Linked DNA regions of Schizosaccharomyces pombe. Changing the gene in region 1 together with any one later gene gives a genetic interaction. Each region holds a gene or a part of one and is shown in the gene's direction. Other genes may lie near its edges. The genes, in order: vts1, dap1, SPOM_SPBC651.04 and erj5.

Region 1 (10,298 bases):
ATCAATGGGGTAGAACTTAAAAAGAGAACGATCATATGAAATTAAAGCAGATTTCACTTCCATGAATTGAACAAAACAGTAGTACAAAGTACTAATACCTATGCTCACTAATGCAGCCTTTTGAGATATAATTATACGAAAACAAAGCAAAAATGAAAGCATAGGACAAATAAATGTTAATGTGACTCCAATTTGCAGAATGGATTTATGAACTACCGAACAATAAATACCTACTACAGCAAAAATGGCATTGACATAAACAAGCATGCCATTCTTTGCGTTGTAAACGGATTGCTCGTAGAATCTTCTCTTAAGCATAACATAAATAATGGATGTAAGTAGTGAATGACCTAACAAATTCAGATACTCTTCAAGGGGTACCTGTGCAAAACTAACCATAGACTTGGACAGGTTGAAATATAAAATATTTAAGTGAGTAGAAAAAGAGGATATTATAATGAAGTAAAAAGAAATATAGGCAGATACTGGTAGTAAAGCTTTCCATTTATTAAACGTCCATCGTGGATACTGCAATGTGATGAAGACTAACAGCGGGAAGAAATAGAAGTAAACAAATACTTCAAGGAATGTAATCATTATATGTGATTGATGATTTTCGAATTTTATGCACTAAAAGCATACGGAAAGTCAACATGCATGCAATATGTTTGGTACTAAATAAAGTGCGCTACGGCGTGGGTAGTAAATAAAGTCAATAGCAGAGTTAATGCAATTTTGAGTCGTTATTGGATTGAGATAACAATTTTCGGCTTTTAAGGGTTTTCAGCTTCTTTTATTGTAAAATAAATTGTGATAGAGATTTTTGTATTCACATGTAGTCGCCAAAATTGCTAATGACTATGACAAAACTTTGCAATCGGTGCATGAAAAACACCGCTTTAAATCTACTGGTAAAATACATTACACAATATGTAATCATTGAGTATAATTGAAAAACATAATTTCCATCGAAAAAAAAATAATTGTATTTGCTGTTAAATGTATTCGTAATCAGAGATGGGATTGGGATTGAAGCTAAAAACATATGTTGGAACAAAACCTATTGATATCAGTTGAGAAAAGACACTAGTAATAAATCCCCAAACTTATAAACTTCGTTCTTTCGAAAAAGAGTGTACACTATGAAGGAATCACAACATAACCTGTTTACTTTCATGTACACAACTGTAAAATCAGCAGCCAACTAGAAATATTGCTAGCTTATTTTAAAGCGCGAACGAGGGATTCCAAAACACTGACTCGAACCGCCGCCTCGGCAGCAACCCCCTCATCAGAAGAATTCATCTCAGCTTTGTGCTTTTCAAGAAGTTGATTTGCGACAGAAGAAGAAAAGTCTTCAAGTTTATAAGCTTCAGGAACGGTGATAGAAAGTTCATTAGAAGGCTGTTGTACCGCAAATCCTCCAGAAATGAAATATTTTGATTTGTTGCTGGATTCATCAGTAACAGAAATAACTCCTGGCTTAAGACACTGAATCATGGGAACATGATCTTTAAGGATACCCATCTCGCCATCTTCCGCAGGGATGTCGACCTGAGTTACAGGAACCTTCTCATAGATGGTTTGGTATGGCAATGCCATGGAAAGTACTAATTTTTCATTTTTCTGAACAGCTTGGGCATAACCACGAATTCCAAAAGGAGCACGTACTAAACCTTGAGGAAATTGTGATTTTCTCAGCATGTAATTTGATAAACGAAACATAATGTTGTTGTTCGGAGTATTGAGTGGGTTAAGGGGGGTGTGATGCTGCTTCGCTGACTGTGGGAATAACTATGCGGAAAAGTGAATGCTGTCAAATAGTTCTACGAGTAGTATTTTAAAGAAATTACGATTAACAAATATATTCTATACTTTTTTAAAAGTAAAAAAATTCTTCAAGTTGTACAATAAATGATTAAGTGATGTGCCAACAGTTTAAGTTCATGAATTTTAAAGCAACTCGTAAAGTACAGGAAAGTGGATAACTTTCTTAATTCCATAAAGATGAATGATTACATTAGAAAAATAGGCTTCTTCTTTTCCTCAAAAGTAAGTCATTCTTTGTATTATTAAATAACAAGTTGTTTATATACTACAATGTAAATCCGCGAAAAAATCACCAAGTTGAATCTTCCGGATATATTTATTTATTGAATGCTTTGTACAATGGCTAAGTTACTTGGTAATAATCTTTTGATTTGAATATATAGACATGTAGATACAGTTTACAACATTTACCTGATTTTGTAAATATAAAGCAAATATAAACATGTTTCAGTTTATTGGACAACGAATTACAAAGCAAACATAGCATCTGCACGTGTAGATTCATTACGAAGCCATTTGCTGAAGTGGTAATCGTGAGTAAGAAAATAAGAGAAGACCAATTTAGATGTCTGAGTAAACATAGTATATTTTATGCAATTCAGTAAACAAGAATATCTGAAAGAACTAACATTTTCTGCAAACAAGTGTAAAATCAACTATTTTTTTGGCATACTGGCTTGCATATCGCTAAATATAGCGGACCCCGAACTAACATTTATCCGTCTTTCCTCCTTCCACCAACTAGTAGTCATTTTTCAAAACAAAGATCCCTGCTTCGACGCTGGTCGTTTTTAAATTCCTAGGGATCTCCTTTTATCATTTGTTTTTACTCATCAATTTGAAGATTCAGCGAGGCAGATTTGATTATAAGGAGTTAGTTTAGAGGGGGAACTTAGGTTCATTAGGATCAACTACTTTTTCAACTTTTATCTTCTTTTATCGACCATTTTTCATTTCAAAATCTATACTGCCTGATTTAGATGGAAGTGGTTGAAGGAAGACGGAAGACGTGCCTTGACGTTGTTGATTCTCCATCTTCACGTCAAAAACAAACTATAGCTGTCTCGTTGGTAGATGGTAAAAACTATCCTACGCGATTTTTAAATAGTAGGACCATAGATAAATTGAAGCAAGAATTAAACACTTCTAATCTGTCGACTGGAGAAATGTCTACTAACGAAACCTTAAAAAATGCTCAAGAAGTTGCCGGTAAGCTTCTATCCGAAGAGAATGAAGATTCAATATCGGAACATTTCGATGAGTATTTAGGAGCTGATAAGCCTGGTATATCCTTTTTGACTCGTCTGAAAACTCTTGAAAGCTGGTTTCAATCCTTAAGTCTCCAAGATCGACTGACGACCTTACGGACTCTTTTGCATCACCTTCCTTCTCAAGAAATATCTACACTTCTGTCGTCTAGCCTTACGTCCTCTCCTTCAAACTCTGGCTTATCTTTAGACAAATCTCTCCCTTCGTCCCCTAAAGGTGACTCACCTTCCCTTTCAAGTTCACTTCCTTCATTGACCACAAAATCCAACTTGTCTGGAAATTTGAACATGGTGACTCCCGCGTCCACCCAGGGACCTGCATTTTCTTCAAAGCATGGCTTTTCTAACGCTCTTTCTACGGCTTCGCCAATTCCTGTTCGTACATCTTCAGTATCATCTACTTACCTCACGCAGGATCGTGAGGCATCTTCCAAAAATTGCCTTTCTAAGGCTTTAGCATTTTCCTCCATTGAGCCGCCTGCCTCTTCTGCTTCTACGAGTCCTCGGAATACTCCTACCCCTTCTAATAATGGGACTTCAATTAATGCTAATGTAACATCTTCTTTAACCAGCAATTCCACCGGCAAAACATCCAAGACCACTGATCTTTTAATAGCTGCATCTAAAAAGTCTTTACCGTCAAATTCAACACCATCAAAACCTAATACATCTTTTTTTGAAACTCCTCATAATAATATTTGGGATTCTCGTGATAGAGGAGCTTTTTCAGCTCCTCCTGCTCCTTTTTTTCCACTTGGATTTTCACCACATTTGAATGATGAGTCTTCTCGTTCGAGATGGAGTAATATATCTTATTCTCCGCCTCCACCACCACCTCCTCCTGAATTATTAAACCATTCTCCAAAGTCTCGCCCTTTAGGCGATAAGCCTTATCTGTTTTACCGTAATAACCAAATCGGACCTCGAACTCGAACTGAAGGAAGATCTAGCATTACAGAAGGTAAACCGTTTTTATCATCTTCCCTTCGTTTTGAGCACGTACCTTCTGCTAATGACCTAAATTCTGTAGTCAATGCTCGTGTTGAGAAATCAACTGGGCAACCATCGACGCCGTTGAATCGTCAACATTATTTCAACGAACTTCCACATTCGACTACTCCGGTTACATTACCCTCGTTGATTCATGGTTCTGAAATTGATAGGAGACGAAGTGGTTTTTGCTTGAACAATTTCAATTCAACTCCTCCCTTTCAGCCCTATCATTACGAAATTGGTTCTGGTTTACCTCAACAGATGCATGCTACCAATACGATTTTAACGAATCCTATAGATCCTAATTCTAATATCTCGACACCCGTAGGAATGCACCTTTGCACCCTTCCTTACACTTATCAACCGTTTAGTTCAGTTGAAAAAATAGAGACTCCACCCAATAATTCAAAGAACCAAACATACCGTAGAAGCTCACGGGGATCTAATAAAACCAGAAAATCGATTTCACATTCTAAAAACACAGACAAGCATGTTGGTAATGAGCTTCCGCAAGATATTCCGAGCTGGCTCAGAAGTTTGCGCCTACACAAGTATACCAATAATTTAAAGGATACGGATTGGGATGCTTTGGTTTCGTTAAGTGATCTCGATTTGCAAAATCGAGGCATCATGGCACTGGGTGCTCGTCGTAAACTGTTGAAAAGTTTTCAGGAAGTTGCACCGCTAGTATCTTCAAAAAAAATGAATGAAAATTTAAAAGCGGCGAAAAACCAAAGTTCGGAGTCTTTAACGAGCTTCAAAGGTCATACTGACTCGGAGGATCTTCCAAGTGGGAGCATGTCTAACGAAATAAGCTCGAATTCAACTAAACAGGATGTTTCTAGTTCATCAATGGACTGAGAGTTTTTTATCATTAACTAATGACACTGAACTAGATATTTTTGTTTCACATCTAGTGACACTTATCTTTACGCTATATTTGACAATACTTTTTTCATTGCTTGAGGATTTCTGTTGTTTATTTTAAGCCAAAAGGTGGACTAATCAAATATTAAAAGCTTAAACCAATTTTACAAACTGTCTTTGACATCGCTTTTGTAATATAAACATATAAGTGAATTTTAGTGATTTGAAATTATATTATTATGAGCACTTAACGGGCACACCATATAAAAAGCTGATTTGTTTTCTAGCCTTCGGTAAAAATCATTGATTTGCTTAACAATCTTAAATCCATGAGCAGTATACCATTTAATAACTGATTCGTTTGTTGTTTGTACATGAAGAGAAATTCTGTCTATATTATTGTTTATGGCAGTTTTTTTGACGTGATCAATTAATAAGCTTCCAATTCCCAGACATCTGTAAGGGGCAAGAACACATAAGACTGTTACGTAAAGTGAATTATCTTCTGCAACAAGGCTGCTAATGGCTCCAACGAATTTGTCTTCGAATGTTGCAATGCGGGCGTAATCTGGATTTTTGAGAACTAGGCGGTAGAATTTGTCACTATAAGAAGCCTCTAAAACGACACGAACGAGGCGTTTGAAATGGACTATATTGGATTCAGTAATCTCTCTTATAAAATACTTTGAAATAATTGTATTTGAATTATCACCTAAACTAGGCATTTTTTGTTGAGCCGATGTATTTGGTTTTGCCAACGTATCTGCAAACCCTTGAAATGAAGCTTCACGATCTTTACGTTCCGAAACTTCTGTAGTTGCGGAATTATTACTTTCGAAACCACCAACCTTTTGCTTGACCGCCTCGTCATTCTTTGATTTTCTATTTTTCAAAAGCCGATCAAAATTTTTGTCAACAGAAAACAAACCTTTAGTATCTGCACCACACTGGATGCATGTCGGTGTTTTACGATATCTAGTTATGGCACACTGTTCACAAAAATGGTGACCACAAGTGGTAGCAATAGGACTTCGGTAATCCTTTTTACAAATTAAACAGACGAAAGGTATATCCTCTTTTTTCTCATTTTTTACCATCCCTTCTTCCAATTTAGCTCCTTTTTTGTATTTTTCCTGGACTGAATCCCATTCTCTATCAAGTTGCCATCCAGCTTTGTAATCCTCTCGCATATGCAAAAATTTACAAGTATCTCCATAACCGCAATACCCAGTGAGCTTATAATCTTTACAAACATCGGGTTGGTAGTCAATAATTGTATTCATACGGACAGTAGAAGCATTGGAAGATAAAACTGGCCCTACTTGGCTTTTTTTCTCAAAATCTTTCCTTTTAGGCAAAAATCTAGAGTAATCGTTTTGTGACTGGAATAACTCAGTAGGAAGAGTAGACTGATTAGCTAACTTCGGAGAAGGTCGACCTAAAATGACCTCTCTCGTATCTTCGTTGATAGCCGAAACAGTTGTAGTATTAACGGACTCACCAGTAGCGCTTAGATTTGACTGATATTCAACATTTATATCTTTCAAAGCAGAGTTCTCGAATTGCTCGGATTCTCTTTGCAATCGATTTAAGCGAACGGTTTTTTTTCTTCCCGAAACAATTGGAATATTGTCCCGCATATCTTCATTTGATGATTCACTGCTGCCTCCAGAGTCATCATCTCGTTTGAATCCTTTTTTACGCTTCAGTCCTTGTCTGGGGCGATGTCTCCGACGGCTTTGAAAAATTGGAACAGCTAATTCGGTATTGATTTTTGAACCTGAAGCCTGATTGATATTTAAATTTTTTTGTTCCATTGGATGTATGGCAAAGATAATTTAATGACCAAGACACTTGAAAAATCAAATTCAAGATAGAAACGTCGTCAATTCTTCTTTAATTGAGACCCTATTTAAATTCCAAGATAGAACCACTATAATAGTTTAAACAATTAATAGTCACTAAAACAGTTCCCAAACAAGTGCTTCAAAAATTCTGATATCTAGTAGAATCAATATTAGCGCTTGCTGTTTGCTCAAAATTGTGAAACGTGTGTCCCCTTAAATAAATAAAATAAAACAACAAAAATAGAAGAAGTTTGTAGTGAAATGCAAATATATAAATTTTAGAAAGCTGCTAAGCTAAATACGTGGCCACCGAATCTGGGCTTTAGTAATATTCAGGTAGATATATTTTTTAATAATATATAGGTATTTATATTTACTTTTTAAGATTATATAGTATAACGAGGCACAAAACAAACGTTGAGTTCTATTAAGAATGTATAGTTCTCTTTTTGTGACAGTAATCAGTCTTAATAATTTAATTACTATAGTAATGACTAATATTTTCAATCTAAACATATATATACAGCCTTCAATGTAATACGTGTTTGCACAGCGTTCCCTTTAATTTATTGCTTAGCGGTACTTCATAAACACATCTAGAGATTTTTTCATATTTATTTTTATTTTATTTTATGGAGATTATGAGAAAAGGCTGAGATATGGGGGTGTTATTTTCAATTTAAACGTATAGAGCATTGCCATTTACTAGAAATTGTTAACATGAAGAGGCCGTTGCTACGACGATCTAATTTACATTCTTGTTTAATTCATTATCATTTATCATCCAACTCTAATTATTTTGCAATCTGCAATATTGATGAACAAGCTACTAAGTACTGTTTCAACGGCTTATGAATTATATCACATCAAACAATCATGGTCTCAGACCTATAATGCAAATAGCGTATGCTTACAGAATTGAAATCGAATAAAGTTTAGTAGGAAATTATACAAACTCATAGCGTGTCTCAACTTTTATTATAATTCATTATGGTACAAAACTATTTTGAGTTAAGCAAAAGTTCAATGGATAAAATTCCAAACGTTAGGTTTTTAAAAACGACAAGAGTAAGACATCACATTTAACAATTTGCATTTTGAAGATGAACCATTAATCACTCTTAATCAGCCCTTGGTTGTTTACGAACACTATCTGATTCACTGTTCCTGTCTTTATAAAGTTCGCCATCATCAACCTCACGCAACCATGGTGCCAATATGACAGGTGATTCAGAACCTTTTTTATCCATCTTCACAACAAAGTCTTCGTTCCTCTTATTCAAGTGGTATGTTTTTTGCTTCCGGAGAGTGTAAGGTGAAGGTGACCTAGATTCATTAGACCTTTTTCTAGATACCTTTGGTGAATATTGACGGTTGTATGATAAAGAGTCATAAGATCTTTTATTCCTAGCAGGAGAGCGAGAAATAGGGCGTGCAGCGGAGACGGAGATCTAGAGTATGAAACTGAACATGACATACTCAACCTTCTTCTGTAGGAGGGTGAGCGAGAAAAGGACCTGCCTCTGCTTGTAGAACCAGCGTATGAACGTCTATAACGTTGGCGCGAGCGATACTTACGTGAAGCAGGTGAAGAAGAACGAGAACGATAACCCTTATCTTCAGATTCAATTAATCTTCCCTCCGGCGTGTAAGAGCGTGAGCGACCCCTTGACAATGATGATGACCTGGAAAGATCAGAATAAGAGTTACGGTTTGATGACCGTTCTCTCCCACGAGGAGATAATTCTCTATCTTTTCTAATGTATTTTTTATGATTTATATTATTGATAGGGGTTACACTGCGGGAGCGAGAATAAGAACGGCTTTTCGAGTATGACCGAGTTGACCGAGAATATGATCTCCCACGTGAGTATGTGGAAGAATAAGAGGAACTATATGTTGATCCTGTCTCGGATCCAGAGCTATAACCTTCGCTATCTTGCTCCTTTGGCTCGCTTTTGGGCATGGTAAGGAGGTACTCTCTCATTTCTTCAGTTAATGCACCCAAACCAATAGAAGTAAAGTAATTGATAGAGAAACGAACGTTACGAGCTTCATCGACTGGAAACAAGCCATGTAAGTAAGGCACTAAATTAGGATCGTGTAATCTTTCTACCAAGCTCTTAAGACCTAAAGCTTCCACTATTTCCTGAAACATTATTTTTAAAAATATTCGAGAAGAAGCTGTGGTATCGTCTTCGGTAAGACGTACACAGTCATATACTTCCCAACCAATTGAGTCAGTACTCAAGAGGTTGGCAAAAAATAATGCGATATTCCTCAATCTATTAGTTTCGTATCGATGTATAGTTTCGTAGTAGTTTTTAAAACATTGCTCATACGTAGATCGCCAAGTCCGCGATAGTTTGCAAAATCGCTCACCTATTAAACCGTAAAATTTCGCATATGTGCGTTCTTGACTGTTACACTCAATAACCATATTGCAGAGTTCAATTTCCTGACCCTCGGGAAGATCAATTTTTAGTAATTTATGACAACATTCCTCAAAATCTACAGAAGACATAATTGTTAAGTAGATAGACTTCCGTAAATTGACAAGACTAGCATTTGTTTGATCTATAACCTGAGGTTTTTCATCATTCACCGATTCGTCCTCTTCAGATTCACTCGTTTCTTCACTATCTTCTTCATCTTCTTCGTTTTCGTCGTCATCCTCTTCACCCAATATTTCATGTTTTATAGCATCGTATTTTTTCTCATTCTCTTCGTAGTCGGGATCATAGTGAAAAATACCCAATGACTCTTGGACATCAAGGTTATCATCTAAACTGATATAATGCGTAATTTGGTCTTCTTCCTCAACAAGATCCAACTCTTGGGGAATTGTGGGGTTATTTTTAAACTTGTCCTTACGTGTTTGGAACAAAACTTCAATAATAAATTGCGTACGGCGTTCCAACTGGCCTTCATGTAAAATAGTACGAAATCTTTCAAACACACCATTATAAGCCCTAGTGGAAACTTCAGCTAGGTAGGCTCCAATTTCTCGTAGAAGCATAACGGCTATTTCTATAGAATCATTGGTAGGTCTCTCCAAAAGAACAGCAAGAATCTGTAAGCCCACAATTTCGTGTGCTATTTTTTGATTAATAAGATGTGCGATAAATGAAGAAGATGAGATACACATGGATTTGTCATTCCTTTGAAATGACTTTCGGAATTGTACAATCAAACGAGTTAATAGTAATTCACCTATTTGCGGAAATTTTGTATTTATAACCGCTGTCATAGCAGCATAGATTGGGGTGAAAGGTAACGAGGCAGCCTGAGCTTTCATAATGCTGCGGCAATATAAAGCACGACCTCTAATTATATTTTCTTGAAAGAGCTCTGGAATTATATCTCTAATATTGCTTTTATTAACCTTATTAATTAATCCGTTGATGGACTTTTTAAGGGCTTCCCATTGCATCCTTTGATACTCGGGAGTATTTACATCAGTTAATTGTGCTTGTAAAGCCTTAAGTTTTGC
Region 2 (5,064 bases), on another chromosome or scaffold:
GATTGCGTAAATAAGAACGATTGGCAGCCATAATGTAAGGTTTCATTAGCAAGCGAGTAACCCGGCCAGAAAAATTAGGAGGAAGATTTTGCGGGCGAATTCCCGAATCAACGATAAGTTTATTAGAGTAAGAAAGCGTTATCAAAACAAAATAAAACTTAAGAGAGGCAAAGAAAATAAGAAGCAACAACGAGGGAATGGACTCTGCCTGAAAAAATAGATACAACAAACTTGGTGAAGGATCGGAATCGGCTGATTCTTCAGTACTAGAAGAATCGGATTGAACGAGTTTCGAAAACCAAGAAAGTGCAAATAAAACAGTGAAGAGGACGTTCAAAAGAAAATCAATTAAATACACATAGAAGAGAATTAGTGCATGAGGAACGCTTGATTTGGGGATGTGAATAGCCAACCAAGAAAAAAGAATGAGCATCAAAACCGATGATACATACATGAGAACCTGCCATGGCGACGCGTCGGAGTTTTGAAAAAGGGATACAATGCCGTAAAGACCAGAAACTTTGTTGATGATAGCAAACCATATGATAATCTCGCAACCAACACGAAGACTACAAAACCCGAGGAAAGACTAATGAATTAGTACAAATCAAAATAGAAAAGAGCAAATGACAAATACATGATTAAAACATCGAAAAAAGCTGGAAAAAATAGACATACCTTTTGAATAAAGATTTTTTCAAATAAAGCGGACCAATTTGGACGCCGAAACAATGCCATAATGAGAAAGCTTACAATAAACCGAATAATTCAACAGTTAATGACAATAAGGAAAAGAGAGAAGAGAGCTTTAAAAAAAATAACGGAATGAGAAACAGAAAGATTTTAGGTGTTCTACACACAGGAAAGGGATTTACCGGATACAATTAGAAGAAATATTTTACGCAAGTATTAACGGAAACTGCAACCAACATACGCCAGGCACAGAGAAATATTAAAGGTTTATGAATACCAGTTAAGACTTCTTTCGTAAAGAGAAAGTTATTAAAAGGAAAAGACCTACGCACTTAACCCAAATACACGAGATTATCGCCCTTTTTCTCTTTCTTGTTAGCGTAGGCTTTTAAAGTGTAATAAGTGAAGCGGGAAAAAGAGAAAGAGAAAAGGAATAGGATTACAATGTAAAAAATCGAAAATTCAACACTTTCTAAAACTTTTCTCCAGCCTCAGTGTTAAGATTGTTTCGTTTCTAGAATGGGCTAATCGCTTGTTGATGGACCGGGCAATTAGAGAAACAGCGAGGGCATTGCTTTTTATGTGGTAGTAGAATGGTAATCATCGTAAATTGCTTATACAACATCCGGTTTGCTGCGCTAAACTAAATAACGAAAAGGAATATAACAACAGTAAATGATCTGGTGACTTCGGGGGTTGGGTTGGAGTAGGCTAAAAACGTAATAGATCGGTGTTATTAAAGGATTCAAGAAAGCATTGAATGTGTAGCAGCATATTCTTTTAATTATTTGTAAGATATTTTTTTTGATTTCATGAAAGAATACTGGAGATTTGATTCACGACTGTGGATGATGTTTACATATACTATTAAACATTGATTAATTTTGTAGACTAAAAACAGTAAACAACGTTATCAGCTTCAAAAAGTTTTTAAATTTGAATTAATAATTTTTTTATCTTAATAAATAAAGCTATACTACCAAAATTCTTCAATAATAAAAAAACCCTCAATCACCTACTACCGTCCTTTAATTACACTCTTCATCGGCTTCACTTCCTCGCCGAATCTTTGTTTACTTGTACCATCGGTGTTTATTGATTTTATTCGGCAAAATAATTCATCAAAGAAGAAGGGCAACACTTGTATGATTTCTTGGTATGACTGTACATTGGAGGAAATAATGACTGACCTGTTTTTCTTCTTTTTTTTTTTTTTTTTTTTTTTAAAAATTACCGGTCTTACGATACATTCACATCTACCGCTTGACAACAGCTGCAAATTTCATTACACTTGGATATGTAAGATGGTCAATAAAATCAAACGATTTTCTTAGGCTAGTCAAGTCATACTTACACAACAAATTGTCAAGAAAAATTACCAACCATCATCATATAGACACTGTATATAAGCCTTCGGTGAATATTTACACTAAACTAGCCGAACAATTTTTCCATAAGAAATATTATTTTATATTCAATTTAATCTTACAGCTCCTGTAAATAGCCGATCGTTCAAGTATATTTTGTATATTTATTTACTCGATTAATGGTATTTGTTTACTTTAATAATTATTATTAACGGAGATAAAAAGGTTCCTTTCTACTACTAGTCAAATACATAAGCTTCTTTAACAAAAACAAACCCTCGATTATGTAGAACAATGCTTGCTGCTATATTCTATAGTCCATCAGCATGAGCGTTATTTCTGATTCATAATGGTTTACCGAGAGAATTAATGGTAGCAAAATGACCTTGGATTTCAGGAGAGCCGATTCCGAATAGTTGGGATCTTGTTTGCTAAATCGAATGCTTAATTCTAGTAACTAATCCCATAACGACTGTTAGATTATCAGAATTTTCTTATTCTGTTCATTCGCTTCAGGTTAGGTTAATGTGACTGCTTCGTAGTACCGGATGGAAATAATAAAGGTTGCATTTTCCTTAGTTTATAGCCTACCCAACGCACACAAGTCAAATTGCTTGCAAAAGAAATTTCCACGTTTGCAAGTGCCAATGATTGTGCGAAGACTATTGCCTCTTTTGGCATGTAGTCATCTTAGTACTCTTTACTGCATTCTTCAACTTTGTGAAATTGCAGTGAGTCGGTAGGCTACAACATATTAATGTAGTTGCTAGGTAGCTTTATAGGATGAACGTGATTAGCTTGATGATATAAACTAAGACTTGTTTTACCATATTTAAATAAAACTTTGATATCAATCGATAATTCTACTGAAACGGAAATAATGTTGGAGAGTAGTGAGATACTAGTTGGTAATCTAGCACACAAAGCAAGTAAACTAGTTGGTTTAAAAAAAGGATAAATTTAAATCGTAATGATACTGATATATTGCTAGTTATATATAAAGCACTTTTAATCATAGTCTTGAAAGGTTTGCATTTTGTACGAGTGGAAGCATACTATTTCAAATGATATAGGCATGCGTTCGACTCATGCTGCTACCATGATGAACACGAGCCAGAAGGCTCAATATTCTATTAAACCCAGCTCTTTGAACCAATAGTTGTGAAACGAGAAACAAGTTCTGAACAGCAGTTTGTTTAAACATTGTTCGTGTATGCCTGGATAACTATGCTGTTGAGAAATTTTGTTTTTTTTACTAAAAAAATGTCGTGCGACTACGATTTCTCGCTTTGTTGAATAAATCAAAACACCATTACGCAGACTATACATGCATAAAGAGTATTGTAACCTTTTGTAAGATTCTTGTCATAGTAAATAAGATATGCTATGTTCCATTCTGTGCGTATATATGAGCAACATAATCATTGATATATAATTACATAACTAACCAAAATTTTTAACTTATGCTTTATTACAGTGCCTTTTAAACAGTTTATGTGTGCAGAAAACGAGACTGCAATAAACATATTCTCTATAACCGTCCGTATATAGTAATGTACCATGGTAACAAAACTATCGTACGTATTCTTCTAAGCAGGTAGTGCGAAGGTTTTGAGAGAATCATGCGACCAGTTGATTCTTCCATAAACCAACACCATGGCATCTACACAAGTTGTTTTTATAGTAACCTTATTTCTTTATTTGCTAATCACTCGCTGGAGAAGGAAGAATGAGAAATCTTTTATTGCAAGCGAAGAGCCAAAACAGCCCGAATGGAGAGATTATACTCCAGCAGAACTGAAGGAATATAATGGCTCCAAAAATTCATTGGTTTTTCTTGCTATCAAGGGAACTGTGTACAACGTTACAATGGGATCAAAATTTTATGGTCCACAAGGCCCTTATAGTGCTTTTGCCGGTCATGATGCCAGTCGTGGTTTAGCAAAAAATAGTTTTGACGATGAATTTATTCCTGATTCAGATGCAGAAGAATTGGATGATTGCAGTGATTTAAACGATGAGGAGAGGCAGGCTCTAAACGATTGGAAAGCATTTTTTGACCAAAAATATCAAGCTGTTGGCAGGCTGATAAGTCCCAGAGAGGCCAGAGCAGCAGCTACTATTTCAGAAACCGAAGAAAAAGTTGCGCATAATTAATAGCGACAAACCTGTTTTTTATGACTTCTTTCATGCTTATGGGTTTATGATCTTTTCTTTGGGATAATCTAGGACAAGTGGTATACGTTCCGCGTCCGAAGGATCAATCTGTAGTATTTGGGTACATTTGATGATGTGTTATGAAATTACTAGAAGCATGATTGCTTTCAAAAATTATCTTGCATGAAATAGAGGCTCTTAAGCAATGTTGAAAAAAGTCCTTGTAGCAGTAATTTTGGTGCCTTGATAAGGTTACGATAGCATCTTTTAAAAAACATTGTATGTCATTTCCATGTTTTTTTTTGACAATGAAAACTTAATAACCATCTGTGTCTTCTATTTTGTTGTAACATATATAAATGGTAGTAGATGTATGATCCATTTTGAAGAATTATTGTAAACCGTTGTTCATCTGATAATTATTAGCACAACTTTTCTCGTTTAGATAACTTTATTTCGTATTCGGAGAATCTTACCCTTACCCTTAAAATCCTTCGTCAGTAGCTGGAAGAAGGACAAAATTGTTTTGTCACGAACAAATAGGTGGTAAAAGAGTTAAAGCGTCATGGACGTCCTTTCGAGAGTCTTTGACAATGAAAAAGAAGAACTGGATCCTTTATTGAACAATCCACTTACAGCTAGTGAGTTCCGAGCCAAAAAAGCAGAACTGGAAGCTGAATTGGAATCTATTCGTAACGGAACTTGTAAAACTCTTTTAGATTTGGCAGATGAACTTAGAAGGAGTAGAGATGAGGAATTGGAAATTGCAGAGCGTTGGAGAACGTTTTTGGTGAATCGGGCACAAGAGGAATACGAAGTGGAGATGAAAGCAGCCAAGGAGGAGTAC
Region 3 (8,250 bases), 1.8 Mb from region 1:
AGCATAACGAGAAGCGTGCTAGTTATGGTCATTCCATGGTATGTCGTCTTCAAGTTTCACCTGTCTGTTTAAGAATTCTTGCTAATTAAAATTTTTAGATTGTTGACCCTTGGGGTATGTCATTTTGACAATTTTATTAGGTAAAATAACTTGAAATTCTAATGCATCTAGGTACTGTTATTGCTCAATACAGTGATATCTCTTCTCCGAATGGCCTCATTTTTGCTGACCTTGATTTGAATCTTGTTGACCATGTACGAACTTATATTCCACTATTACGTAGAAACGATTTATACCCGACCATTTAGCACTGTTATACAAACTGAGGTGATTTCAATTTAAATTAAAGAGAAAATTTTTTTTCGGCTTGTTTACGAAGTATTCATTATTACTTACGGATTTGCAAGATTAAAGCCTGAATACTATGAAAATAAATTTGCGACAATTAAATAATTCCATAAAACCGTAAATTACTGAGCGCTCGATATAGTAAACATAATAGAATCGAAGTGGAATGCAAAAAGTAAGTACTTATTTTATTAATTAATGCATAATTTATATATGTATAACGATTAGGCATCATATAGGAAAAGTGCAATACACAGACAAAAAGAAGAAAAATTAAAAAAAATAAAAAGAAATAGACTTCTTACAATAAAGCATGAAAAATCATTAATGACTGCACCTTCAGAATCACTTTGATTCAAAAGTGTTGTTTTGTGATTAGAAAAAAAGTTAAAATAAAAAACAAAATATAGTCCCTGCGGAAACCCCCCGAACATTCTTTCCCATGCGTGGAAAGAATAACCGTATTATAGTAGTATTTGGAATATAAATTAAAGGACCCTATTCAATTTAGGATCTTGCATGAATTAGTAATATTAAACGATTAAAATACTAAGAATTGGATGTGGACTTTGGAATAAGTTGAGATGCGACAATACCGATGCCTATTACAGTAATGGCCGCAAGCATGTTGCAACCATTGAATATGTTTTCTTGAAGAAAAACAGCAGGAACCTTGGTGCCAGGCTTGTGTTTTTCTTCCTGCAATTCAGCGAGTTGAAGTCGAAATAAAAGCAATCCATTGGATCGAGACATATATTCCCAAGGATCGCCAGTATTACGAAGACAACTGTACGGAGAAATTTGGTATCGGTCCAAGGGTAGAGAAGAAAAGGGTACTGCTGATATAGTTGCACAGGTATTTTTAATTAGTTGATTTACGTTAATAGACGCCGGAAGTTTGCACAAATAGCTATGCAATAAATCAGCACCAGAATTATCCCATAAAAGCTCAATAATGGAAGTACGGTTATCAAGCACAACCTGAGCACACGTGTACACGACGGTAAGAGGATGAGAAGAGATGAAGAAGTCAAATAACCTGCATACCACCGAAATGTCTGAAACATCGTGTGCAAACCAAGTGATTAACCATGAAAGAGCAAAATAACACTGGATATCTGCCTTTATTAAATACTCATAAAGAGTGGGATCGCGAGCCTTGATAACTGCTAAAATTAGCTGCAATTGTTTCACCGTGCCATCAAGGGTAGGAAGCATAAAGTCCCGAAGACGGTAAAATACTAGATGCTCCATTAAAGGGAGAGCATGAGAGAAAGGAAGGGTAAGAAGCAAGATCTGGGCAATATCATGAAGACCTTGATAGTAGCATAGTTCCGGATAATGCTTAAAGACTACACTGAGCAGCTTGGTCAATTGAGAACGGTGTTTACGAAGTAGAAATGGATTCAACTTGTACTGAAAGAATGATCGTTCCGAATCCAAATGAACCTGATTCTGGTCGGCATAAGAAGACTGAGAAGTAGATCTCGAAAGACACTCCATTCGATGTCGACACGATAAACCACAAAGACTGACCCATACAGACTTGCGCAGACTCTTCATGAGGAAGCCATGTCCTTCTTTGCCAATGTGGGAAAGTGTTTCGACATCAGAGTTCAATAATGCAATTTTGATTTCATTTTTTAGTTGTTTTATCTCCTTCTTCTTCATCTCATGAGCGAAATCGCCACTTCCCTTAAGGGAGAAATATTTGAAGAAGAATATTTTTGAAATTTTGAACTGAAAACTAAATCACACTTTGCTTAGGAATCCTGAAATCCTTTAATCTCAGGCCTTTACTTTTTCATAAATAGCTAAATTTTTCTTTAATAAAATATCTCGTTTGGCATCTAAAACACCGTTTTATAAAGGATCAAAAAAGTTGGGCGCAGTTAGTGGTCTGTGGGTTGATGTACGTACCCACTTAAATGGGAAAAAAAAAATCAGAAGATGAAAAGGAACACAATGAACAACTGCGCCGAACACCCTCTCGACAACCTTAATAAAAGAAGATCTTTAACAACTTTAAAAAGAAAGAAAGAAAGTAAATTTAAAATTTTATAAAAATTCTTAAACGAAGCATTTTTACGGTTTTTTTTTTTTTTTCGAATATCGTTAGTATTATTACTATACCATCTCCTTATGAAATTTTTTTTTGCTAGTTAATATATGATGGCGAAGTAAAGTAGAAGGGCTTTTATAAATAGCTGTAAAGTTCAACAGCATGTGTGTCAACTCATAAGGAGAGACTTCCATCAAATCAAACAAGAAGAACTTTCTTTATTTCTTCTCTTTTCTTCTTTTCTTTTTTTCAAATTAAGGAAAGAATATCAGTATGCACTGCCGAAATCGTTATGTTACTATTAGATGGTGGATTGTACAAATAATAAAATTAATATCCGTATGAATATTTGACAAATGAAACAGTTCCCTGCTGTAGATCCTGCGGGTTTGTTTAGCTGTCATTGTAAAACGATTGCGGATAAATCTTCTTTACTTTCCCACCAAATAATGCTATATCCAAAGTATCAAAAGTTTTGTGCGGGTAAGTCGTTAAAATAACACCATTCCTCCAAAAAAATAAATAAATATAATATAAAAAATAAAACGAACCCCTTCAAACGAGGGAGAATACTCTCCTGAAGATGAACGAATTTTGAAAAATTTTTCTTATTTTTTAATTAAAATCTATTTAATGGTATTTGCTGAAAACTCGATTTGACCCCAAGCAAATGTTGAGACATTCATGTAAAAGAAATTATTACGAAAAAGAAAAAAATAAGCGATGACTTAAAACCATCAGTAATGAATCCACATGTTAAAGTAGCGAATACTTAAGCTTGATAAAAAGAATACCTAATTCTAATATAATCCTAGTAGGAAATATTAATATAAATTTTTGAGGTGGCTCTTTTATTGAAGTATCGCTTCATTTTGTATTAGTTAAAATAGGCAATACATCAATCTATTTAGCTTTTAGATTAAAACTACATATTGTTATATTTCAAAAATCCGTGCTTAATTCAGTTGGGCTTACTATAATATTAAACAGATAGTTTCTGGATTTATTTTGAGTGGAATGGCTTGTTTCAGATAGAAAGGATATGATTTGAGAAGTGTGAAGTTAAGAATTTACTGCTTTTGTCTTAAAAAGCATACTCAAACTTGCTGAAACATATTTAGGTCTGTATTCATGATGAATCTTAGTTTTCCCAATTTATTTCTCATCATCTACCAGCTAAACCCAGCAATCTGAGTGAAAAGGTATCTTCATTAAAAACCTATAATCGTGAAAATCATATTGGAATGTTCTAACATTTATCAAACAACATCCTTTCTGTTTACAGCGAGGTTTCTTGTGTTGATTTTGCTACTTTAGATAAGTCAGATCAAGGTAACATATTTGTGGGTCAGCGATCTGATAACTACAGATGGCTGGTATTCGAATTTTCGTTTGGATTAGCAAATTTGCTGCTTAGACCTATCTTTCCTCTTACCGCCTCTCCGTATACATTGTACATCCCATCTTTCATCGAAAGCTTTTGAGTATATAGACAGGCAAAGAGCTTTGAATGAGTTCCGCTGAACTCGGAAAGCTACATATTTATGCCTCTCCTGAACAATGGGAGAAGTGGAGTCCCCGTTGGAAAAGTATCGTTTTTCGAACGCAATATGAATCGATTTTCAAAAATCCGAAACACCATGGGGAGAAAAAACCTTTTCATTGCCTCTTCAAACTCGCTGGAACTATGAAGAGTATCTCTTTATCGCATTTGGATATTCCAGAGCATCGCATGAGCAATGCAGTAGCTTTTCCTATCACTACTTCTACAACCCCTATGCAATTAGATGTCACCTTACAATTTCGTGGGCACAAAATTCCTCTTGTAGTCGGAGAAGCTAGTGTTTCCTTGGAAGATATTTTCACTCATGGAACTGTTGAAAGCGTAATACCTTTATTTATGAAAAAAAGGCATCCCGAGGCATATCTTAGGATCAAACTCGTTTATACGAGGAGTAAAAGAAAGAGCGCCAGGAAACACAAAGTTCCTTCTTCCTTTCATCGATTTTCTGGTCGACGTGGTCTTGGTATACATTACAACCATTCTGGTTCTCAGAGCAGCTTAATAACTTTACCTTTACCTCAAAAGCAGCCTGATTTTTTACGTATGAATAACGATACTAATGAGCTAAAAACAAATGGGTTTGAGCCTATTCGGTTTGTATTTACCACTACTCCTTATTCACCTGCTTCCTTTGAGGTACCAAAGACCCTTAAAACTTAAAAAATGATTGTTTTCTTCCAAGGAATTTCCCTTACTAATTAATTTTGTTTCCATTTTCCAAGGTCCATACAACTTTGCGTCTTGCTGTTTAATATGACCTCCGATTCTATTCTATTTTATTATATTATTATTATTCTTAAATTATTGTTGTGTTGTTTATCACTACTTCCCGTTATTTCGAGCTCTTCTCTTCTTCTTCTCCTTCTTATACCTGTACATATTATCTTTTCCAGTTTCATACTTTATGTCTCTCCTTTTTTCGGTTTTCGTGCTTCAGTTTCTTTTACTTCTTAATTCTTCTAAACCCAAACTTTTTTCTCAAACATATATACATATATATATATATTACATATTACGTTTTCTTCATCGAATTCAAAGTTTTATTCTTCATTAGTTTGACTTTTATCACAGCGTTACTAGATGCTTTTACGAATTAATATATAGACTGGCAAAATTAAGCGTAGGGTTGACTATCTATGAACGGTTGTAAACAAGCAGGTCAACCTCCCCCAAAATTCTAGGTAGTCTTGATAAAAAGGCATTAGAAATTTTCGTATAAAAACCTTTGCGCCTGGTCGTCGATAAGATTGCTTGCACCCCAATAGGCCATCTCCACCCCCTGGGAGTCAATCCAGAGTAATGATTTTGAAACTAAATCATTCTAAATTATTTGGTTAGTCGCAAATGTTTTGAGATATTTTTATAATTTAACTGCGTACCAATACTTGAATGCATCTGCTACGCTCCCAAGCGTAATTGTCCCGTAAAATAGATATTGTTACATAGCCCAATATCTCTACAGCCTCTAAAACAACATTTTGGTCGGTGTTGAGCTCTAAAGGAAGGGACCGGATATACTGTTTACCTGCAATTTTTTCAAGAACAAAGCCAGGGCCAAGTGGGGCCAAACTATCGACAGCTCGAACAACGTCAGTCTCTCTTAACCATTCATGACCAAAGGCTTCATTTTCTTCATTTAAAAAACGACAAACTTGGCTGACCGATAAGAGGCCTCCATTCTCCATTTGAGTAGCATAACAGACTTCGATTACTCGTACAGCGACCTGATAATAGAATTCGTTCATGCCCACGGCCGCCCAAGCTGACTCATCAGAACCACTAACAAATGGATCTAAACCAATTTTCAAAGCTAACTTAACAAATGTATTTCGAAATTGAGAGTTTTGTTTTATCTCAGTGGCATGTTCTCTCGCAAACGTCTTCAGCGCTTCCTGAAACGTCGAGAGTTGAGATGCAATTTCATCGGACTGCTGTTCAATAAGTTCATTTCCTACTTCTTCATACTGTTTTAGATATTCATCGTCGTTCAAAGCTCCAATTCCAATTCTTTTACGCATCGGCCCAACCGAACATTGCTTGTTTCAAGCGCACAATCTTTATGATCGAGGCTTTTAATTAACAAGTAATTTCGAAAAAATATCAACAACAACGTAATTGACCAGTTTCTACAATTATTCGCGAATAATAGTCCTCTTCCAAGATCACAGGAGTTGTGTAGAAGAGCAATAACAACCTGCTTAGGAGAATAAACCATCCATTAATTATAACAATAGTAAACTAACTAGCTCATGAAAAGAATGTAACTAACAGGAGCGTTACATTTCATTATCTAGTATACCAAGTTATTTCCTGCTATATTAGTAAACTATCTTAAATTAGAATATCGTATAGCAGCGCATATTCAGTTTTTTAACGCACTTAACTGGACTTCCTTATAAAGTTGTTTATCACATTGTTTAGCTGCGGTATTTTCTTGATTATAGACTGGTACCACCACCAATAGTGACTAAGTGTAGGCCAGAGATTATTTGGTGCTAAAACCAACTACTTCTTGGGACTCTGCGAGGCTCGAGTAATTTCAATCGTTTTTTTTTATTTACTCACATTCAGGGTGCTTTGAAGATGCCAAGGAGAGCTGTACTTTTCCGTGGCAATTCATTCATTTCGTTTTCGTCAATTTCCTCAGGAAACGAGAGTAGCGCCCATGGGGATGCTTCACTTGGACAAGCAGATAAACCCTTAACTGTCGACGTTTTAGATGCTTGGACCACTCAATTCACAAAAAAGCAGACCAGGGTCTTTCATGAGGCATATGTAAGCGCTTATATCGATTTGCAACAAAAATACGCTCGACTTGAACGACTTCAGGAGCAGATCCTTAATTTGGAAAGATCGCTGTTAAATTATAAATCTTTAAAAAGTAACTCTACCACAACGGTGGCGACAGTTCCCTCCGAAAAACGATATTTCTTCCGCCGCAAACCAAAAACTTCTTCAACTACTAATTCTCTCTCTTCTTCTTCTTCTAGTGTCTCGCATATGAATCAAGATGCTAACCCCAATAGCACCGTATTGACCTTTACTGCTGTTCCTTACGATTCTTGTTTACCTGCACCAGACCGACACACTCCCTCTAGTGCATCGTCTAGGGCGAGTGAAACGGGTACCACAAGCCCACAAAGTATGAGGAACCAAATTAGCCTTCTTTACTCAAAAGTCGATCAAGTCAAAACTGAAATTGCTTCGGCACAAGCTGTTATGCATGATTTGTTGCGCACTTATCCTGGCAGTGAAAGTTTGCAACAATCTACTCATACTCAATTTTGATGCCCCTACACAAACAAAAACTCTCTCTATTTTTAGTTTTCTGTTTTATCTGCGTTTTCTCTTGAAATGAATATTTTTTGTTAAGTTGTATTTTAGAGAATTCGATTATCGATGGATGTCCATTGATGAATCGATCGAAAGAGTCCCATGAGACTTTTTCTTTAATTGTTTTACCCTTTAATAACTTGGAAGCATTCACCAATATATATTTGTTATCGTCTTTTCCATCGAATCTTCTGTAATTCACCTCTTTACCTTTTTCCAGCAAGCCTTGAACTTTCGTTACTTGGGTCGTTACTTTATACTGATGTCCTCTAAATTAATTTCGATCCACTTACTTCCCCATCTCTTTCAACATTTACACTTTCTGACTATAGTAAGTGTTTAATTGTAAAAGAGGTTACTCCATGATTGTAATGTACGTTCCTCAATAAATGTTGCTGTACGGACATTGCCGTAACAAATTCAGTCAGTCAGATATATTTTTCTAACTAAAATTGAAGTGAGCCGACAATACTTTACGAAGCTGCTGCTTTATACACCCGTTATACTGCAAATGGAGGCGATTCTAACGACGTTGTCGCGTTATTAGTAGGACCGATCGTTCAGACATTATCTATACCTTCTTCAACATCTAGTGCACCGCTTGTCACTTCAGTTCGGGAGATTCTTGAGCTTGCTTGCAATGATGCTGTGCTCGACAAGTCGTTTCTCAATGAAAGATTAGAACACTGTATGATCAATAAGCATCACTTCGCTTATGCGCGCTAAGCATCATTTTGCTAATCCGTAAACCAAATAGGCAAACTTCAAGATTTTCCTTTAGTGGGATGTTTAGTTTTGGGAAACAGAGTGGATCATAGGGTTCGTTCAATTGCTCATCAGGTACGGTACAATGCTACTTCGTAACCAGTTCTTTGAATTATTTTGTTAACGCTTATACTAGTTACAAGAAGCTACCGCCTTTCCCTATCTTATGCTTTTCCCA
Region 4 (8,070 bases), on another chromosome or scaffold:
AATCGTCTTCAAATAGAAGGTACAGATACTTGAGCGTCTCCGCAAACCAAAATGATTCGGTTTTGTCCCTTTGGTCTTTAACCTTCTTCGACTCTACACTATCCAAACATGTAAATGCATCTCGGCCAGGCAATCGAGAATATCTCAAAAATGAAACAAATATGTTCCATCCCCATTCTCTATATATTTCATCTCTCGTTATTCTGTAAAGAATAAACAGACTCTCTACCGTCTCTGGCCTCATCAAATTATGTTGGTCACGACGCTTGCTATAAATTTCATTTTTAGTCTGGTCAACATCAAAAAACACAATTTCAGGTGCTAAACCAGTAGCTGTCATGTTGTACATTTCATAACAAGTTCGCATAAGTTCTTGAGCCAGCTTTACATCACGTTCTTGACGTGTACCCCAATTTTTGGAAGTACGTGCTGCTTCTAATGAAGTACCGTTGGTTGCTCCCCACATAAGTGTGCCAGGTAAAAAACATACTAAGTGATCCATTTTTGGAAGTTGAGCGTGTTCTAATCCACCGGGAAGTTCCGCTATGTAGGCAAAGTGATTAGGAGTAGTATAATTAAGGAGATATTCAATAATTCCATCAACACTCAAATCGAACGCTTTCCTATATACTGTACCACTTGAAAATAATTGAAGATCTTGTTTCAGTAAATACTCATAGTAGGAATCACCGTGAGAACCCAGTCGAATATTTCGACCAACGTAGGCGCCTGTAATCAAATTTACCGTAATAGGAACCAAGCCAGTATGAGACCAAGTAGCATCTCCTAGCAACACCTCCATTGTCTTGTCAGCCGTTATCCAATATTTAGGATCGCCAGTAAGATAGGATAAATAACGTAGCTCCATCTGAACAGTTCCGGATTCAGCAGTGCTTACGAAATACTCTCTAGTTCTTTTTCTAGATTTACGAGTTCCTAGGTTTACATTTGATCTAGGTAAGCCCGTGGAGGTATTATAAGCAGCTAGCAAACGATCAGCTAGGTCCACTGCGCGGTCTAGGTATAGTTTGTCTTGAGACAAGTGATAAGAAGAAAGGAGTCCTCCCAATATACGAATAGTAGTTTCAAAAACACTAACTTCTTCGTCATCTTGGTTCCAAGTAAGAGAATTATTAACCCATTCACGAGCACGTAAAACTTGTTCATCAAGGCCCATAATCATCATTGTATCAAGGGAATCAATAATCATCCAGCCCATGCCCTTCCTAAGGTAATTCCGTCCACGTTTAATAATAGGATAGTATTCATCTTTACCCCAGCCATAAGTTTCATAGTCTGTCCAGCTTTCTATGAATGTTTTCTTAATCAGCGCTTTTCTTCTCGTGGAGCCTTTAAGTTTGGTATAACCAGGAGGTCGTTGGACAGTCGTGTATAAATAATATATTGGAACGCATAATACAAAGAGTGCCAAAATTCGACGAAGAAAGTATTTGACAGTCCTTCGTTTAACCATTATTAAAAAAAATAGAAAGAATAAGAAATTTAAAATCGATATAATATAATAAAATAACAGGATAAGTTAACCACAATATTTAAGCATCAGAACTTGTGAATTAAATGACTGCGGTCAAGAAAACAATCAGTTTTTTCTCAAATTTTCAAAAGTTTTGACAAGGGGTAAATGATAAAATCGAAGTTCTTTCAAATCTACCTGTTTTCCGTCAAAATCGAAGCTTGCACACAAATATAAAGATAATCGTTCACAAGAATGTTCAGTCAGAAAATGAACATAATTTTACTTAATGAATTAGCTATATTTTTACGTATTCGCTTATCAAGATCTAAAAACCGATCTTGAATTAGCAAAGAAGCAGTAGTTGGCAGAGGTTAGCGAATCCATGCCAGTAATACAAAAGTGCATTCTTGTGAATCAACCCTAACCATCAAACAAAACATCTAAATCGAAGTTTGTAAAAATATCTAAAATTAAATTTTCTTTTTTTACTTATTCGTACAATAAGAGCTTCTCAACCTTTGGTCTACGTATGTTTGTTTGTCTATGTAGATTCCTCAGATGTCAATCTAAAAATTCCCAAATATTCTCAATCCTGAACTTCTGGGTAGACATTATATAACCTATGAATTAAACAAAAGTGCTTGTTGATTTTCAATTATGACCATCGCATTCTAAAATCTACAGGTTCGAAGCTCGAAATAATCATTAAAACTTAAGCATTTTTTAAAGATGTACTTATTCTATAATCCATTTAGTGACTTAAACTTGAAGCATTGGTAGAAGAATAAGGCTGCTCACCTACGTGTTTATGTGTAAATTGATTTAACTATGTTGATTGCATGCTCAAAACACTCCTTCTGAAAAAGAACTATTTACAAATACGTATATATAGTCCTTGGGAAAAAATATAACATTTTTATCGTTTCTTCCAGCTTACACCTACAATGTTAAGTAGGGTATCAGTGCTGATTAAAAGCTGAAACCTCGATACGTTTTATCAACTTCTTGTTTCCCGTAAAGAAAATGCTCAAAGTTTAAGTAGATGATCGTAGAAAAACTTATAAAGGAATGAGTGAAGAAAAGCATCCTGTGGATTTGCACAGCATTAAGTCTAACGGCTTACAGTGAATTTTGTATTCATAAAAAGTAGGCACTTGGTGGAAAATCACAATATACCCGCTGGATTCTCATAAGTAGTCAATAAACAATGTAACCCAGCAAAGCTTGACACGATACAGAATGACCAAAACAACCGTCCTACTGGAGCGAGAAACATAATAACGATCAGAGTGACAGCACAAACACCAGGGATGGAATACTTGGGATCTAATCTTATATTTTGATTAATGGTCAAGCTTCCCAAGCCATGCATAACAAAACTTAGAAAAACACCAACCATTAGAGCTAACAAAGCAAATGGGTACCAGATGAAGAAATAAAGCCAGCAAATACAAAGCAAAGTTCCATAGAATCTATAATTGTCTTGAAAATTCTTTTGTATTCTGGGTTTAACAGCATACATACGAGGTAAAGAGACCTTTCCCATTCGTACATATTCATCTTGCGCTGCTACCGCAACATATGTTTTATGAGTGGATATGGAATTCTGGTGCAATGAACATAGCACTCGGTGTAATTTATTTTCTAACTTCATCATCAGGAAGATTGATGTGTGGAAATGGGAAACGTTTTGGCTCCTCCAGTAATGGCGCCCATCGATGGTTTGTTTACATTCTCTAATCGCTACCGTAAACAACTTTTCGTAGATTCAATTCACATTAATCAAAATCATATGAAAAAACATAAGGTAAATATAATAGTATGGTCGCAAACAAAATTTGTTCAAAATAATTTGAAACCATTTACTCTTCAAGGATAACTAGTCCACCGGTGCCTAATTGCAGGTATTCGAAATGCAAAACAAAAATTAGAAATTTCAGAGAAATATGAACAAAAAAATAATTAAGAGAGAATTACAAGCTGTACTGGCGTCGCCGGATCTGGTTCCTATTTGCCCATCACCACCAACGCTTTCATAGTCTGTATCTAGAAATAAAACACGAGAAACGTGTTAGCATAATAATTTTTCTGTTAAAACATAGCTACGCTAGTGCCATTTCCCGTCAATGTTAAGTTCTTTCAAAAAATCGTTCCATAAAATTTCTTGAGCAACTTTGGTTGTACCTTTCCTCACACAAGAGAGCGTAATTTCATAGACGGAAATAAAAAAAAGAAAAAAAATAATAAAATTATAAATACCCTTAAAATCGTAATTTTTTTCTTACCCAACCTTGTTTTAATACCAGCCTTCGAAAGATAAAAATACTGATACTTCGTTATTCAGCGTTTGTTTAAATAGGTTAGCGAACGCGTATCACCCAAGAACCTAACCTTCGGGTTGCAAAATAGAGCGGAAATGAGCAGAATTTTTATTTTACTGCTTTTATTTGGAGTCTGCTTAGCGTGGACCTCTTCCGACCTTGAAATTTTTCGAGTTGTTGATTCTTTAAAGTCAATTTTGAAGAATAAGGCCACGTTTTATGAGCTACTCGAAGTGCCTACAAAAGCCTCTATTAAAGAAATCAATAGAGCGTACAGAAAGAAGAGCATCCTTTATCATCCAGATAAGAATCCAAAAAGTAAAGAATTGTATACGCTTTTAGGGCTGATCGTAAACATTCTTCGCAACACTGAAACGCGTAAACGTTATGACTATTTCCTTAAAAATGGATTTCCAAGATGGAAGGGAACGGGTTATCTTTATTCAAGATATCGCCCTGGTTTAGGTGCTGTGCTCGTCTTGTTGTTTCTTCTCATTTCCATCGCACACTTCGTTATGCTCGTAATCAGTTCAAAGCGGCAAAAGAAAATCATGCAGGATCATATAGACATTGCTAGACAACACGAGTCTTATGCAACTTCCGCCAGAGGTTCAAAGCGTATTGTACAAGTACCCGGTGGAAGGCGTATATATACAGTCGATTCCATAACTGGTCAAGTGTGTATTTTGGATCCCAGTTCCAATATAGAATATCTAGTTTCACCAGATTCCGTTGCAAGCGTTAAAATATCTGACACCTTTTTCTACCGTCTTCCCCGATTTATAGTTTGGAACGCCTTTGGACGCTGGTTTGCAAGAGCACCTGCATCGTCCGAAGATACGGATAGTGATGGACAGATGGAAGATGAAGAGAAAAGTGATAGTGTCCATAAATCTAGCTTCTCCAGTCCTTCGAAGAAAGAGGCTTCCATAAAAGCCGGAAAGCGACGAATGAAAAGACGAGCAAATCGAATTCCACTTTCTAAAAACACGAATAGAGAAAATTAAAGTTACTGAGTCAAATTTATATTGTTAGAGTGTCTTTAGGTTTTTATAGTCAAGTGATTGATCACGTTGTTTCTAAGTTAATAGTCTATTGTTTAGTTTTCTTCGACAATTCATCATCATAATATAGTTATCATTTCCCCTTGGCTGCTTGAATACAGTCTCTACAAATGTTTATATACTTGGAAGTCATATGTATATCTGCATTTACTTTAGGAAAAGACTTATCATCTTGATAAGCCATTGCATATAGACCAAGTGCAGAATGTAAAACATCAGGAAACTCACCTGGTGTTTTAGAAAATCCGCCCAAAGCATGTTGAGCATGCAATAATAAATATTTTTCCAACTCACCCCCATCGATAAAAGGCAGAGCATCAAGGAGTTTTAATGAACTCAAAACCCAATAAGCATAACAGGTGTCAACGTCTTTATTCGTCCTTCCGTTTAATCCTCCAGATGATAATTGTCTAGAAGCTAACCATCTGATAAGGCGTTCTACTTTAGGCACACAATCCATTAAGTTATATGATTGATTAGAAGTATTCAAAGAGGAATTTGGAATCATTTTCAATATTAAAGACCATGATGCTAACGCGCAAAATGTAGCTCCAGCATGGGCTTCGCCGTATGGTAACAAAGAAAATCCGCCTTCATAGCGTTGACAGCTTTTAATATATTGGATAGAACATAAAGGGTCAGACAGAGAGAAATCAAGAAGCGAAGCAATAGTCGTAGCCATATATAACTGTCGCATGTCTTGGTCCGAACATGATGGCACAGCAATACTTCTAAAATGACCCTGCGAAGTTTTGCACAACTCCACAAAATTCTTAATTAAATCGCGGTCGATACGAGAAAGATTATCGCCAAGAAATAAAAGGCAACAAATTGAAAACACAGTCCCAGCTAATTGCGGCTCCTGTTCGAATGAGATGGGTTGAATGCCAGTTCTATACGCCTGAAAACCGGAGTATTTGATTCCTTTAGATTCTTTCGTTACATAGTTTTTGTAGATCCACTCGATCCAACTTTTTTTATCGTCATCATCTATGGTGTTCAATGCATTTAGCAAGTCTAATCCTAATAAACAAAAGAATGCTAACACTGTTCTTTCGCAATCGTGTTCTTCGTATGGAGTAGGAAATAGTATAAGATGTCTCTTAAAGAAAGCAATATGTTTAGCTCTTGTTAATTCCATTGGACCATAAATAGATGCGCCGATAGCAGAATTCTATAGATGTCAATAGAATAGTAAGTCTTAAAAATCTATCGAACAAAATTGGTACAAGAACGATAATTATTTTAAGCTTAAAAACAAAAAAACGCGACAAGGTATTTTGATTTATAGTAATGAGCAGATATATTTCTGTAATGATTTGTTCATGAAAAGAAATTCGGTGAATTAGCTCGGTAAACTTCGGAAATTTCTTGTATGGATCACCGGACTTTTTGTGGAGTATGCTCGGAGAATAAAATTAAGTCACCGGCAGTATACCATATAGGTGTTTGAAGATACAGAAATTTACGAACCGTTGGTACCCTTAGAGAAAGCATGTCTGATCCTTTCTTTACACGTCCAGAGCATAGAAAGAGGAAAGCTAGGAGTGCTACTTCAAAAAGAGAAAAAGAGAATCAAAAATTGGAGAGGAATGGACCCGCTAATGAAGATTTAGCATCTATATCATCAGAATCCGAATTCAATGGCTTTGAGGACGAAATTGATGAGGAAAATGAAGATACTTATGAGACTGCAGCAGAAAAAAGGCTTCGATTAGCAAGGGAGTATCTAGACGAGGTCAAGAACGAACTGGTCGAAGATGGAGGTTTCGATGCGAAAGAAGTGGATCGTGAATTGCTTGCAAGTCGATTGAAGGAGGACGTATTAGAAAAGAAGGGACAAATGTATTTAGACTATACTTCTAAAATTAATCCTGATGTAAAAATCGAAACAGCTCAGCTGCGAGGCCGTCACATGCGTCCGCTAGTTGGAGTGGTAGCATACGAAAATTTTGTTTATAGTGCTGATAAATCGGGTTTGATCCAAAAATGGGAAGCTTTGCAAGAAAAAGATACTGAAAATAGGGAAAATGACGATCATGAAATTGGGAAAGCTATAAAATTGCACTTCAGACCGATCAAATTCTCTCGCAGCCGAAGAGGAGAGAACGATCATGTAAAAGAAATCACTTGCCTAGCAATTAGCAACGATGGTCGTTGGATCGTTACTGGAGGTTTGGACCATCGAATTGTCATTCGTGATAGTGTGACACTTGAGCCTCAACATTGTTGGAAACATCATCGGGACGCAGTAATGGGATTAGCCATGCGAAGAGGAACCAATGAAATGTTTAGTTGTTCCGCTGATCGATCCATCAAGGTATGGTCTTTGGATCAAATGTCTTATATTGAAACGCTATTTGGACATCAGGATGTTATTTTTGGAGTGGATGCATTAGCTCGGGAAAGATGTGTCAGTGTAGGTGGTAGAGATCGGACATCGCGTCTGTGGAAAATTGTTGAGGAGTCTCAACTGGTATTTCGTAGTGGAGGTACTTCTATGAAAGCAACTGCAGGCTATATGGAAGGTAGTGTGGATTGTGTGGCAATGATTGATGAAGACCATTTCGTTACTGGAAGCGATAATGGAGTTATTGCACTTTGGTCTGTTCAACGTAAGAAGCCTCTTTTTACATACCCACTTGCTCATGGACTAGATCCCATTCTAGCTCCTGGGCGTCATTCCGCTGAGACGTCTCCAGATCCTGTCACTATACCTCCTCAACCTCGATGGATCACTAGTTTGGCTGCTATCCCATACTCCAATCTATTTGCTTCTGGTTCTTGGGACGGAAACATCCGTTTATGGAAGATAGCGGAAGGCCTTCGTTCTTTTGAACCTTTAACAATCGCTACTCCGTTGTCAGTTTATGGCTGCATCAATTCCCTTTCACTTTCTTTGCAAGGAAAAGGTAAACAATCAGAGGTAAGAGTATTCGCTGCTTGCGGAAGAGAAACTCGCGTTGGTCGTTGGAAAACCTTGCGGGGCATCCCTAATTCAGGCTTCGTGTTTAATATCCCTTTAACGGTTATTCCTTCTGTTACAGATGGTGACGAGATTGATGAGTAGTAAAGTTGCAAAATAAAAGAACTTAGCTTTTCATTATTTTTCATATAAGCGGTTATGAAGCAGATGTGATGGATCTCTTATTACTGTGTTTATCTTTTCCTGGTGTACAAAAAATTTTAATTCATGGAACGGAATTTT

The links.
Region 2: mutations in vts1 (region 1) and dap1 together harm fitness less than expected from each alone (positive genetic interaction), as found in Schizosaccharomyces pombe (one large-scale study listed by BioGRID).
Region 3: mutations in vts1 (region 1) and SPOM_SPBC651.04 together harm fitness more than expected from each alone (negative genetic interaction), as found in Schizosaccharomyces pombe (one large-scale study listed by BioGRID).
Region 4: mutations in vts1 (region 1) and erj5 together harm fitness less than expected from each alone (positive genetic interaction), as found in Schizosaccharomyces pombe (one large-scale study listed by BioGRID).

What each region holds. Positions count from the first base shown.
Region 1 is NC_003423.3:3,038,279-3,048,576, reverse strand, and holds vts1 (RNA hairpin-binding protein), read left to right. Parts: upstream 1-2,566; 5' UTR 2,567-2,810; coding exon 2,811-4,952; 3' UTR 4,953-5,173; coding exon of another isoform or gene 5,174-6,775; 3' UTR 6,776-6,937; downstream 6,938-10,298. Other genes in the region: gpi14 (pig-M family mannosyltransferase), read right to left, coding at 1-597; F1-ATPase delta subunit atp16, read right to left, coding at 1,222-1,725; zf-C3HC4 domain-containing and GCN5-like protein cwf24, read right to left, coding at 5,174-6,775.
Region 2 is NC_003424.3:4,151,757-4,156,820, forward strand, and holds dap1 (cytochrome P450 regulator Dap1), read left to right. Parts: upstream 1-3,703; 5' UTR 3,704-3,716; coding exon 3,717-4,217; 3' UTR 4,218-4,564; downstream 4,565-5,064. Other genes in the region: inositol phoshorylceramide synthase regulatory subunit Kei1, read right to left, coding at 1-589, 679-738; Clr6 and Rpd3L histone deacetylase complex subunit Sds3, read left to right, coding at 4,783-5,064. UniProt on the Schizosaccharomyces pombe protein: Required for sterol biosynthesis. Functions as a positive regulator of cytochrome P450 enzymes erg5 and erg11. Function requires bound heme.
Region 3 is NC_003423.3:1,240,927-1,249,176, forward strand, and holds SPOM_SPBC651.04 (uncharacterized protein), read left to right. Parts: upstream 1-3,843; 5' UTR 3,844-3,920; coding exon 3,921-4,634; 3' UTR 4,635-5,175; coding exon of another isoform or gene 5,176-5,295; 3' UTR 5,296-5,353; coding exon of another isoform or gene 5,354-5,992; 3' UTR 5,993-6,228; downstream 6,229-8,250. Other genes in the region: nit1 (nitrilase superfamily protein), read left to right, coding at 1-38, 99-114, 172-308; GTPase-activating protein Gyp10, read right to left, coding at 898-2,019; ESCRT II complex subunit Dot2, read right to left, coding at 5,176-5,295, 5,354-5,992; protein mug166, read left to right, coding at 6,558-7,262; SPOM_SPBC651.07 (uncharacterized protein), read left to right, coding at 7,670-7,680, 7,766-7,995, 8,065-8,147, 8,209-8,250.
Region 4 is NC_003424.3:3,323,005-3,331,074, forward strand, and holds erj5 (DNAJ domain-containing protein Erj5), read left to right. Parts: upstream 1-3,865; 5' UTR 3,866-3,893; coding exon 3,894-4,805; 3' UTR 4,806-4,935; coding exon of another isoform or gene 4,936-6,003; 3' UTR 6,004-6,024; downstream 6,025-8,070. Other genes in the region: mns1 (mannosyl-oligosaccharide 1,2-alpha-mannosidase), read right to left, coding at 1-1,474; mug109 (Rab GTPase binding protein upregulated in meiosis II), read right to left, coding at 2,643-3,134; geranylgeranyltransferase type 1 beta subunit Cwg2, read right to left, coding at 4,936-6,003; U3 snoRNP-associated protein Rrp9, read left to right, coding at 6,358-7,932.